Lonchura striata: one gene and its partner. The protein of the gene in region 2 purifies or fractionates together with the protein of the main gene of each other region. This does not show direct contact. Links are inferred from orthologs where the notes say so. Each region holds a gene or a part of one and is shown on either strand. Other genes may lie near its edges.

Evidence for each region.
Region 1: the proteins of FNDC3A (region 2) and TENT5C purify together in Homo sapiens (affinity purification with western blotting; 3 studies listed by BioGRID, with this or other methods). This does not show direct contact. The link is inferred for Lonchura striata from reciprocal best matches to the Homo sapiens genes FNDC3A and TENT5C.

What each region holds. Positions count from the first base shown.
Region 1 is NC_134604.1:28,335,493-28,341,290, forward strand, and holds TENT5C (terminal nucleotidyltransferase 5C), read left to right. Parts: upstream 1-4,058; coding exon 4,059-5,234; downstream 5,235-5,798. UniProt on the Homo sapiens protein: Catalyzes the transfer of one adenosine molecule from an ATP to an mRNA poly(A) tail bearing a 3'-OH terminal group and enhances mRNA stability and gene expression.
Region 2 is NC_134604.1:62,224,453-62,231,669, reverse strand, and holds the start of FNDC3A (fibronectin type-III domain-containing protein 3A), read right to left. Parts: upstream 3,036-7,217; 5' UTR 2,927-3,035; intron 2,883-2,926; exon of another isoform or gene 2,774-2,882; intron 1-2,773. UniProt on the Homo sapiens protein: Mediates spermatid-Sertoli adhesion during spermatogenesis.

The sequences.
Region 1 (5,798 bases), about 34 Mb from region 2:
ATTGGAGCAAAATAAATAATTATCTAACCCATCCCTATTCCTGTTCAGCTTTGGCTTTTTTGGTGAAACGAGGCAGGTCTGTTGTATTTGCTAGGCAAAAAGGAGCTTTCCCATTTCCTCATTCAAGGCCAGCTCCTCTCCATATATGTGCAGGTTTTAATTCATCTTTCTTGACTGTGTATGGCCAAACAGTATAACAGATGTAGTGGTGATTTTTTTTTTCCGTTGTTTTGTAAGTACTTTTTTTACTTCTGCTAGGATTATGTTCTGGCCTGTTCTAAGTTGTGTTGATTCCCCCCGCCCCGTTTCTATTGAGATCTGATTATCGTAACAAAAGGCAGATACCCCTGTATTGGATGAAACATTATGTTCTCAGCAGAAATTGTAACTTTTGCCCCCAGAATGATCTCGCACCCTGTGCTATTAACCACCAGCTGATTTTTATGACACTGCATCTCCAAATTGATTCCTGTCCAGCCATTCCATCATCCTTGTCTATGTGCGCAGAGCCTCCCACAGCCCATCAGCCGCAGTTTCCGGTAGCACACTGTTTCAGCACTGCTCCAACATCCTTGTGAGCCCATCCTTGCAGGTTCTGGATGAGTGCCTGGTTTGGCTGTTTCCAGTTAGGCACCACAGAGAACTCTTTGGCAGAGTTGGACGTCTGGGATCTCTGCTAACAGCTCTTCTGTCTGGGATAAGGTGCCTTCAGGAAAGCCCTGTTGTATTTCAGTCAGCCCACAGATTCACAGAACCAATTAGGTTGGAAAAGGCCTCTGAAGTCATCAAGTCCAACCTATGACCAAACACTACCATGTTGACTAGATAATGGAACTGAGTCTCATATCCAGTCTTCCTTTAAACAACTCCAGAAATGGTGACTCCATCATCTCCCTGGGCAATCCATTCCAATGTCTAATCTCCATTTCAGTGAAAAATTTCTTCCTAATGTCCAACCTGAACCTGCCACAGCTTAGGACTGTGTCATCTGTCACTGTTGCTTGGAAGAAGGGACTGATCACCACCCATCTACATCCTCCTTTCAGGCAGTTGTAGAGAGCAATAAGGTCTCCCCTGACCGTCCTTTTCTCCAGACTGAACAACCCCAGCTCATTCAGCCTTTCATCGTGGGACTTGTGCTCAGATCCTTCACCAACAACGTTGCTCTTTGGAGGCTCTCCAGCCCCGCAGTGTCCTTCCTGAAGGGAGGGGCCCTTTGAAAAGTTTGTATTTATCTACAGACTTTATACACAAGTATGCACTGACGTGGGGCTGGGCAGCTGGGCGCTGTGCGCGGAGCTCGCGGGGCTCCAGCGCTCGGGCGGCCGCCCCCGGCCGCTCCCGGCCCGGGCGCCGCGGCGCTCCCCGGGCGCGGCGCCGGCGGCCGGACCGCGGCCAGAGCCGCCCCCGCCGGCCGGGCGGGGCGGGCGGGCCGGGCCGGGCGGGGCGGGGCGGCCCTGCAGGGCCATAAAGGGCGGTCGCGGGCAGCGGCGGGGCCGGCGTGCTTGCTCGGGGCGAGCGGCGGGGCCGAGGTGAGCGGCGGGGCCGGGGCTCCTCTCCCCTCTGCGGGGCGGGCTCTCCCGGGAGCAGGAGCTCGGCAGCGCTCCTGTCGTGGATGCGGGTGTTGGAGGCGGAGGGAGCCGCAGCTCCCGTCCCCAGCGCCGCTGGGCTCCGCGGGACAGGCCCGGGGAATTTTTGGGTGTTGTGTTAAATTATATGTCTTATAGGAGAAAGTTGCTGCTGCAGGGTAACGCACCCCGTCGTGACCAAGGTGAAGGTGTGTAGTCCTCGCTCTTTTTTTGCTTCTGGTTTGAGTGATGTATTCAATGCTCTTTATGCTCGGTATTAAAGATATTTAGTGTTTCCTGCCTCCGTAGTGGTTTTCTTCCTAAGGACTGAGTATCTTCAGGTGTCCGATCTTGTGGAGGGAGTGGCTGGCAGTGAAGCAGGAGGCATGGGAGCTGTTAGCATCCCAAAATCACTGGAGTCGCTAGGAATCTGTTGTCACTAACATAAACCTTGCCGAGTAGGCAAACACTAGTGATTTGAGGGTGGGAGGTTTTGGAGGTTGATAGCCTGAGACTTAAATCCTCCACTGAACTGGAAACGAAGTACTTTGTCTTCTGCCCGCCAAGGGCAGCAATGTGCATTACCCTCCTAGGTGAGGGTCACCAAACAGAGCCAGGTGTGTATGGTGTGGTTGAAAGCGCTGGTCCAGGTCCTTTCTGGTCACTGGGTGAGATGCGTGTGTTTCTTGGCTGCAGAGAGGACTACAAATCTGAAGAAGGAGAGGGAATAGTTTTAGAGGCAGTAGCTGAAAGCATTTGCAGCTTCAGTTAGAAGTTGTGGGAAGACTCTTATGTTCTTTAGTGATCTGAGAGATTTAATAGAAATATAGTGAGTTCACTAAGGAAACATACTTTAATGTGCTCTCAGTTGCCTGAGAGCAACTGCTGGCAGGTTTGATGTGTTTGTGTTTATGCTGTGTTGGAGTATTAAAGATGAAGCTCAAAGAACCACTTGATTTGTCCTAGATTAATCATCTTGCAAATCAGAGGTTTGTTTCATACCTGCTGGTGCTGATGTGATCCATGGCAGAACAGTTTGTAATGCAGCAGCTCCTGCTTGAGGACAGAAGCTTCTTCCCTAGAGGGATTCTAACCTCACTGTTTACTTGCTCTGGGATTTGACTCTCTTCATCCAAAGAGGTGGCAGGTCGAATGAGTTGCTCAAAAATGAAAAGCTGAAAAAAGGGGATGTCTGAGATGACAATAGTTGTTCTTTGAAACTTGCTTTAATATGTTCCATGCACTGTGCTATTGCATGCCAGGAAACTATAGGGCTTGGTTTTTCCTTCTTGGTAGGCAAGAGTTAATTTTCTTAAGTTTGACTAGTCTGACCTTGGCAGCTGCAGTCTTCAGGAGTATTTGGGGCAGAAGAAGGTGAAGCCTCAATTAGTCTGTAGCTGTCAGGAAGCACCTGGCTACGCAGAAACCTGGAACACTTAAAAAAAGAAAAGGGTTTTAACACCAGTTTGAGTTGCATGACTGTAGAACATCTGTAAGTATCTCCATGCTACAATAGGCAAGTGACTTAAGGAATCTTGTCACAGCTAATCAGATCATTCTCTTGTGCTTAAAGTGTTTAGACAAGGCTGTGACCAAGTCTGGTTAGTGAGATTCTAGATGTTAAAAGAGAAACATGAACTTCTTATGCCTCATCTGAATTTATCGCAAATCTTACAGGCTTGTTTGCCCTTCATAAATGAGCAGACCTTGGGACAAGTATGAACATTTCCAGAAAGGTAGTTGGTTAGGCAGTGTCTCTGTAAGCAGCTCTTTACCCTTCTTCAAAGACTGGAGTGCCTATTGAATGCTGTTACCCGAGTTTGCAGCTGAAATTCTGTCCAGGATGTTCAAGAGCTGCAGCTTTTTGCAGGAGCAACTTGTACTTGGCCTTTATCCTGTGAGTGATAGATGCTGGATCATTTAGAAAGGAAAGTGTTCTATGTAAAGGAAGAAATCTTGTATCTTTGACATAATTTAAGAGTTATCAGTGGACTGGATGTCTAAGCTCTGAAACTAACACCTGAGGGTGTTCTGCAGTTGTGTTAGTTGGAAACAGCAGTTTGAGCTTTATATGCATCATGAAACAACTTCAGAGCTTAACTCTCTGAAGTGCTTTGCAGCTCATCTCACTTCTGCTGGTGCTGCTGAGGACTTTAGCCTTAGTTTGTGTCATCTTTGGTAATTTCCATTTGGCACAAACTACTTTCCTGAACTAACTCTACCTCACCAAAAAAAAAAACAAACCCAAAGGCAACCCATTTTTTTTTTTTTTGCCTGCACCAATAGTAAAGCTGTGTCTCATTTCAGAAGAAAGGATTGCTGGTAGTCATTAATACATAGAGTTATTTCTGTCTAGTTTGTGTCTGTGCGAGTGAACAGAAAAACAGAGCCTAGGAGTAGATCTAGGAAGCACAAAAAGAAACTCTGACTTGTCTTTTTCTTTTTATATTCTACCTCCATACAGTTTCTTTGGAGAAGAAAAGCCCAAAGATGGCATGCAAAGGAAGTAGCAGAGCAGACTCCATGTCCTGCAGTGTCTTGAACTGGGAGCAGGTCAGCCGCCTGCACGAGGTTCTTACAGAGGTGGTTCCCATCCACGGGCGGGGGAACTTCCCGACGCTGCAGATAACTCTGAAGGACATTGTTCAGACGGTCCGGAGCCGGCTGAGCGAAGCAGGCATTGTGGTCCACGATGTCCGTCTGAATGGGTCTGCAGCTGGTCACGTCCTGGTCAAGGATAATGGGCTGGGATGCAAAGACCTGGATCTCATTTTTCAAGTTTCTCTTCCAAGTGAGGCAGAGTTTCAGTTAGTTCGAGACGTGGTCTTGCGTTCCCTCTTGAATTTCCTGCCGGAAGGAGTAAGCAAGCTGAAGATCAGTTCTGTAACACTGAAGGAAGCCTACATCCAGAAGCTGGTCAAAGTGTACACAGAGACTGACCGCTGGAGCTTGATATCACTTTCCAACAAGCATGGCAAAAATGTGGAGCTTAAGTTTGTAGACTGCATACGGCGGCAATTTGAGTTTAGTGTAGACTCGTTCCAGATCATTCTGGACTCCCTGCTCTTTTACTATGACTACTCGGAAACCCCCATGTCGGAGCACTTCCACCCAACTGTGATTGGGGAGAGCATGTACGGAGACTTTGAAGCAGCTTTTGATCACCTCCAGAACAAGCTGATAGCTACCAAAAATCCTGAAGAGATCAGAGGTGGTGGGCTGCTGAAGTACAGTAACCTCTTAGTACGAGACTTCCGGCCCATGGATAAGCGCGAGATCAAAACGCTGGAGCGCTACATGTGCTCCCGATTCTTCATTGACTTCCCAGACATCCTGGATCAGCAGCGCAAGCTGGAGACCTACCTGCAGAACCACTTCTCCAAAGAGGAGAGGAGCAAGTACGACTACCTCATGATTCTGCGCAGGGTGGTGAATGAGAGCACCGTCTGCCTCATGGGGCACGAGCGAAGGCAGACTCTCAATTTGATTTCTCTGCTGGCACTCAAGGTGCTGGCAGAACAGAATGTCATCCCTAATGTCACTAATGTGACCTGTTATTACCAGCCAGCACCTTATGTCAGCGATGCAAACTTCAGCAACTACTACCTTGCTGGTGCCCCTGTGCTGTACAGCCAATCCTACCCCACTTGGTTGCCTTGCAATTGATCGCTTCCCTCGAGTGCTCCTGGCTGGAGGCTACTGAAAGCCACAAGTGTAATTATAGACAAGTAATAAGTGTCAGTTGGATGTTCTCTAATGGAAACTTGACTGTATCAGACTGTCCATTTCCTGGTGTGCAGTGGGATTATGCAGCCAGGTGACCTGCTATGAATCTTTGAGTATCTCTACAAATGCCAAAAAGCCTTATTACCTCTTCATCGGGAGGAGAGAACCAGCAGCCAAATGTTAAGAGGAGCAGTTAAGAAACTTTGTACTAGCTCTGGAAGTGGCTGTTAACATGGGATCTAAGTGGAGTATTCAGTAAACTGGGTTGGTTAATTGACTGTAAAATGCCTTAAGCAGAAACTGCTCTTGGAGTAGCAGCAAAACACTGCTTTCTATTTCCTAACCTCATTATTCTTCCTCAGTCCAAGTTCTGGCCAAATTTCTCTTGAACTAATTGTGCCAAGACTGGGCTCATGTTATTCTTGGGTTGCTTTCACTTTGTGTCTTTGTAAAGCTGGTAACAGTGTGAATACTGTCTGTCTTGTAGAGGACATAAATGTTGTT
Region 2 (7,217 bases):
CTAGCAGAGATTGAACTAGAAATCCCACAACAATTAGACAGTAGAAGTGAAAAAAAGATACAAAGTTGCTAGAAGAAGATAAGAATTCCTGAGGTTCCAGAAGGCACTGACTAGGAACATCAATGGATGCAGACAACACTGTCTAGAAAGTAGGCCTGCATCCTCACAAAAACTGTCTTCTCTGGTATCTGTCTGTATGGGAATGAACAAGATGGCATGTTTGCCAGTTCAACCCCAAAAGGAGGACGGAGCTGGGTTACAGGATTGGCCACTCACAGTGCCATCAATAGACAATCAGAACAGCAGCACACAACACCTACCCAGCATTCAGTATTTCTAGAGACCAACACATGTACAACAGCATACACTATTGCAGAAGTGACCTGCCAGCAAGGGAGATTGTGGCATTGTCTAAAAGTATTTAGATGTTAAAGCCATCTAGGAGAAAGTACTGACAAGTATGAAAAATTGAACCTCTCATCAAGTCAGACTTTAAGAATTTTTCTCAAGTCCTAAGACAGAACACTGCAGAAACATGTTCAATTAAGCAGTTAACGCTGCAATAACAATTCTAAAGGATCTCTTTGAGATCTTCAGCCAAAATGATCATCAGAATAACACTGAGTTAGCCGATGGAGGTCCAGTTCACGTAAAATCAAATGGCCACGAGGCAAAGATAAACAATGAAAAGCATCCCAAGATCTACAGGACTCACAGCCCAAAGCAAATGAGTTACTAGTCCAAATCACAATCCAAGTTTCTGCAGCTCCATTACATCACTGCCTCTAAAAATCTAAAGCTTTTGAGTTCTAAGTTCACAAACTAGTAGAAAGTCCAACTTGAAAAAGGTAGAAATCTCATTAATGGACTGAAATCGGGTAACTAATGTTCAGAGTAATGACCTGACCCTCATGAAACTCATACACCCAGAGCTTGTCATATAGTAAAAAGCCTCAGAACAGTTCCATTTGCCCTGAGAAAAACCTGAGACACTTACCTAATTCTGTTTTAATATTATCATCTACAGTAGCCAGCCTGTGACTCTGCTCAAAGCCGATTGCTCATCCCCCTGACCAAGTGAGCTAAGCAACAGATCACTGAATCCTGGCCTTTCTGAGGACAAGAATCTCTGTCTCTCTTAACCCAGGCTTCATCTGCTAAAAATCAGTGTCCAGTATCCCTGTGGAACTCATAAAGCACATCAACCTTCTCCCCCAAAGTCACCAGAAAAATCATTCTGGTGTGGTTTGTATAAACAACTCCCAGATTCAGTATATGCTTGTCAAGATGACTTGCGTACAGAGTGAATCTAGATTAGATGTGTTTTCCAACTTGACCAGCACCCTTCTTGCTCCCTCATGCTTAGCAGAAACACTGGTTGTCAAGAACTCTATTTAATTTGCCAACATTGAGTGCTGGAGATACTCAGCTACCTCTGACTTTCACATGTGTGTACATCTTTCTCCCTACCTGACAGCTTGCTACTTCCCCATTCATCATGTGATTAAATTTCATAATTATTTGAGACCATTTCCTTAAAAAACAAAAAAGAGGCAGAAAAAAATGTAACTGATCATCCTCTTTGAATTTTAAGGACCACTGGTTTGCTGTGACTCACACTATTTCACAACACAGAAAATAAACACATCTACGGATGCAAATTCACATCAGTTAAATTTCTACACTGTATAAAGCAGAAAGTTTCCCATTGCCATAACAACAAAATAGCTTCTTAAAAGCAGAAAGCTTAGCAGGACTGGGTCCTACAGCTTCTGAGACAGAAGCTGCCAAGTACTCAACAGCAAAAAATTTAGAGATTTTAAGTCTCCTTGAAAATTCAAGGCATTTCTAATCAGGTATGTATTTGATCAAATGCAGACTGAAATTTTAAAACCAAAGAACATTTCACAGGAATTACTTCGTAATGTGAAATGTTCTAGAATAACGCTTGACATGCAAGGTGGCTAATAAAATGCCTTTGACAGGGTTAAACAAATGACTAACACATCTTGAGGTGCCATTTATAACATTTTCTCCTACCAAATACATTTTCTCTTGTTTCTACCGCTTAATTTCTTCACTTCGCACAATAAAAATCAGCTGAAAAGTTTCATTTTTGCTTTTAGTTGGTTTCACTTTCTAAGTTGCCTGGAAGCAACGAAAAGTTTCTGTTTAGGTTGGGCGATATTCAGGGAGGGGGAAATCGGGAGTAAACCTGGCTGAAAGAATAATGCCTCCGGCTAGGAGTCGGCAAGATGATGACCGTGTTTTCGCGAAGACTTTTATCTACATAGAGACGCTCAATCCCCTTAGCTGGGCGTATGAGGGAACCTTTTACGGCTTAGGCGGAGGGCAACAATAACAACAACATCAACAGCGAGAAAGGGGTGTCGAGCTCCACCACTGCCTTCTCCTCCCCGCCTGCCACAGCCGGCTCAGCTGTTCTGGTCGCGCTCCGCATCTGCTTCTTTCTCCGGCTCAACCACCGCCTCCTCCCGCGGCCGCCGCGCCGCAGCCCGGCGCTGACAGCGGGCGGATCCCGCGCCCCGGCCGGCGGAGGCACCGCCGAGCGACCGAGGGGAGCGAGACACAAAGTTTCTTTCGCGGGGCTCTGTCGGTGGCGCCGGCTCCCGGTCCTCCCCGGCGGGGAGCGCCGCTCCTCAGGCACCGGGGCAGGCACCGGGACAGGCAGCGGCGCCGCCCCCGTCCCCTCGCACCCCTCCGGCCGCCCCGCGGAGGGGAAGGCGGCCGTTCGCCATCAGCGCCTACTCACCGCCATGGCCCCGCGGCTCTCCCGGCTAACGGTCCGCGCTCCGCCGCCAGCGGGCAGCGGCGCCGAGGCGGGCAGCGCCAGGGGGAGTTCCCGATGGCGCACTCGGGCAGGGGCGGCGCTTCCCCCACCCCTTGGCCCGCCCACTCGACGTACCTGCCCTCCGGCCGCCGCCGCTCCGCCGCCTCCTCCTGCCCTCCCGGCAGCTGTCACTGCCCTCCGCTCCCGCCGCCGCCCCCGCCCCGCCGCCGCAGCGCTACCCGCCACCTCGCCCGGCGGCGCGCGGCCGCCATCTTTGGGGAGGGCTGGGGGGGCCGCGAGGGGGCAGTTAGCTCTGGCGCGCAGTGCGCCTGCGCGGAGCGCTCCCGTGCGGGAGGGCGGGGGCGTGGGCCGGAGGAGGGGCGGGGTCAATGTGTGTGGGCGTGGCTGGGCGTGGGCTGTGTGGGGGCGTGGGCCGTGTGAGGGCGTGGGCCGTGTGAGGGCGTGGGCCGTGTGAGGGCGTGGCTGTCGGGGGGCGGGAAGGGGCCGGGGAGGGCTGTGGGGGTCTGTGCGGTCTGTGGGGTTTGTGGGGTCTGTGGGCTCGGGGCTGGGCTGTACCGGGGTCTGTGGGCTCGGGGGTCCGCCGTACCGGGGCCTCGACCTTAGCCTGTACCGGCGGCTGGGGTCAGCGCTTGCTTGTGTATGCCCTGCTTAGAAATAACAAAAACGTCTCTACATTATCAGCCCTCTGTTCAGCACCAACCCAAAACCAGCCCCATATTAACTCTACCCCAGCCACACCCAGCACATATTCCACCCCTTACCATAGCATTTATACCATGGCCAGACCTCATACTATTCAATACAACCTCACTAGCCACCACCCTTCTTCCCATACTTTGATAAAATACACAGATGTTATTCCATTAGTCGATGGGCCACCATTGCAAAATGTCCATAAGATGTTATTTGAGCTCATGTAGTCCATGACTTTGGGTTCCATCAGTTATGGTAATCACTTGGAATGGCAGAACTGTTTTGTGGAAGTGTTTTGGGCACCAAAGCCGCGTCACTGCTGCACTTGCACTGCTTCTTGTGCATTGTTTTACGTGGTTTCTGCAGTAGTAATTCCTGTAATATGCAGCTCAAGCCATGGGGTTTGCCCAGGCTGAGCTCATGCTGGGTGGAGTGAAGGGTTGCCTGTTTCCTGTACAGCCATTATCACAGTGAAAGTCAAAGGGCAGAGGCTGAGGAGGGCAGGACTGTGAACACCTGAGGTGTCCCCTGCCTCCTGCCCAAGCATGTAGTGTTTGCCATCAGAGAGGAAAGGGTAAGAAATGTGCTTTTCCTGGCACTTGTGCAGGGAGGAACTATCTTCCCTCAACACCTGCAATGTTCAGCTGGTGTCCTGAATGCTAATTTGTGATTATCCTTTGCTTAATGTTTGTCCTTTCTGTCATTATGGATCAAAATTATTTTACTAGTGTTTGGCTTAATGACCTTCTGCAGCAGTGGACCAAACCAAATGAAATGTTTTATAAAGTGGTTAATTTACCTTAAAGCTCTCTGTTATTAACTTACTAAGTTCCTATTTCTCCTGCATTTCAGCAGTGTTCATATAGTTTTGATAGCTTCATGGCAGGCAGAAAGTAGCTCCTATCAAGGGATGCACCAACCAATGTCTGGTCATCACCTGGCTTCTCACTACAAGCTCCCTTTCCCAAATGCAGAATTTGAATGGTGAATAGCATACTAGACTGTGATATCGCGGATCTCAAAAACTAGAGAGACTTAGGACTGATCAATATTTGGATGAGCTACCTCGTTAGATACTGCGGAAAATGCTGCTGGTGATTCATTCAGTGGCAGTCTTCTGTCTATGAGTCAGGGCTGAACAAATGCCACTGCACAGCATTAGTGGGCCGTTCCATTCAGGGGCATAAACTGGAGATTGTTGCCAGTTACAGCTGTTGGAAGATCACTGATTTTCCTGCCTTATTCCAGTTTCAGTATGGCTTTCCAGAGCTCTCCAGCAGTTTGGCAGAACACAGCAAAGGGTTTCCACAGTGTCAGGCACCACTCACTGGTGGCAATGGGGCCAAGAACAGCAGTGGCCATGGGCACCACTGTAGGCAGCCACAGATCCTGGCTTTGTGTCAGACTGTCCAGTTTCAACTGATGATGCAGCACCAATTTTATGTGCCCCACTGCTGAGAGCCCTGTGAGGGAGCGTCCTTCATTCCTCCTTCTGGCTTCCCACCCATTAATTCCTTCATTCCTCCTCCTGGCTTCCCAGGGCTACCTCCCCTGCTCTTCCCTTGCAGATAAAATCAAGAAATATGTGCAGTGTTTTGGTTGTATGGATGCAAACCTAGAGCTGGGACAGGGGATAGATGAGAGTGTTTAAGGCTCTTCTCCCCATGTAAACTCTGGTCCTGGTGGTGTGTAAGTTTGCACTACATGGCACAGTCCTTCACTTTTTTCTTCCTTTCTAGCTCACAGGTGTATAAATAAGTGTATATGAAATTCCATTTTCTGCTGGAAACCTGGTTAAAGTTACCTAGAAATAATTCTGAATAGTACTAAAAGTGGATGGAAGGCATTGGGAACCAGCATAAAGACCTCTTTGTCTCTCTTTAGGGGCTTGTGAATAAATGGATTTTTCTAAACCTAAACTAAACTAGATTGGAATTATTTACAAACCTAAGTTGCCTACATGGTTCTCAGGTATTTCTAGATGATTGACCAAATGCTCTTGCTTTCATTCACTCCAGAACTTCCCAGGAGGACTCATTCAACACAATTTATTTCAATTCAACAGAATTTCTTTAAAGAAATGTACCAGATACACATCCAAATGATGAACATTTATGAAATTGATATTGTAGCTAAATCCAGCAGAGGAGAGGTGAGGAGAGAAATACAAAAATACAGTCTGTATCATAATGCCCTCCTTCTCTGGCTCTCACTTTTTCAGTCAAAGTTACTGTCTTCAGACAACTGAGAAGAATTGGTGTTACAATGGTCATTATTTCAGGTTTGCTTCGAGTTGTATTTATCCAGCAAAACATGTAGCAATCTGGTGCTGGGACCAGAACTGAGCAACTCATGATAGTTTTGAGACCTACATCATTTGATCCAATCCTCCTATTCTCTCCATCCTTGCAAGAAGCCTCATCCCTGGAAACATTTAAGTCTAGGTTGGAAGGAGCTCTAATAAGCCTGATCTAGTTGAAGATGTCCCTGCTTATTGCAGGGGAGTGGATTAGATCTTTAAAGATCCCTTCAAAACCAAGTTATTCTATGAAGCATTCAATATTAAATGGGGAAAATCTCCAGTTCTAAAGTTAAAATAACGTGGCTTAAGTTGGAGAGTTCAGCAACTTTCTCACACAGCATGCACCTCCATAGTGAACAACCCATTTTCACATTTAGCTGAATTTCTAATCACCTCTAGCACCTCTGCCAGGAGGGACAATGGTGACCTCTCTCCGTAGTGGCAGCTCTGCTGCTGTCACAGCTTGCTGAGCCTGTAAGAGCAGTGGTAGCCAAATGTAGATCAGCAGACCTGCAGTCAGACTCTACAGTGTCTTTACGAACAGGTTTGTCATCTAAACCTCACCTGAAGACATTAGTGGGAACATTTACCCGGGCCTCACAGGCCAGAGGAGAGCAGCTTGGATGGACTGTGGGCTATGAAAGCCGTGAGTTCGGTAGCGCCGCTGCCTTCTACCAGATAAGTAGCATCAGTGCAATATACAACAATTAAAGAAATACAGCTGGTGCTTATTTTCTAAAACAAGTAACTAATGTATGACTGTAACTCCCTGAAAGTAAACTTGCTGTATATAATAGCAAGGTGAATGAGGTTTAATTTTGGTGTGTTGGCAAAAAAAAAAAAAATGCAGAAAGTTTTATGATTACAAAATTGAGTTACTGATCCCTCGGTGTCATCGGGCATACTGTGTCTTCACCTGAGCTGCAAAGCATTCTTTTATTTGTTCAAATTACTTTCAAAGAGGCTGCCAATCAGTATAAACTATTTGCTGGTTTCTGATTTGCATGAAGGCTTTTGAACTGTAAAAAATCCAACTTTAATATCAGAATGTTTTATCAAAATAAAGGTTTGCTGACAGCAGTTTAATGCTAGGTATGATTCACCTCGATGGTAAGATATGTGTTTGTGGGAAAAGGAAATCTCAGATTTAATTGATATGATCAGCTGTGTTTTTACATAATTTGGTGAACTAGTAAAACTCAAAACACATTGAGGAGTGGCATATAATAAAATTCCATGTCAAGCAACTGGCAAAACCATGTCTATAACTGGTTTTTGACACTTGTTGTAGAGTAAGTCTTGTATGATATATTTTACCATGCTTTTCTCAAAACACTGAGGGACACAAATCCACAACTTGTGGATTTGTCTTCTTTACCTGCTGTTCAGGACATGGATGATGAATTAAAT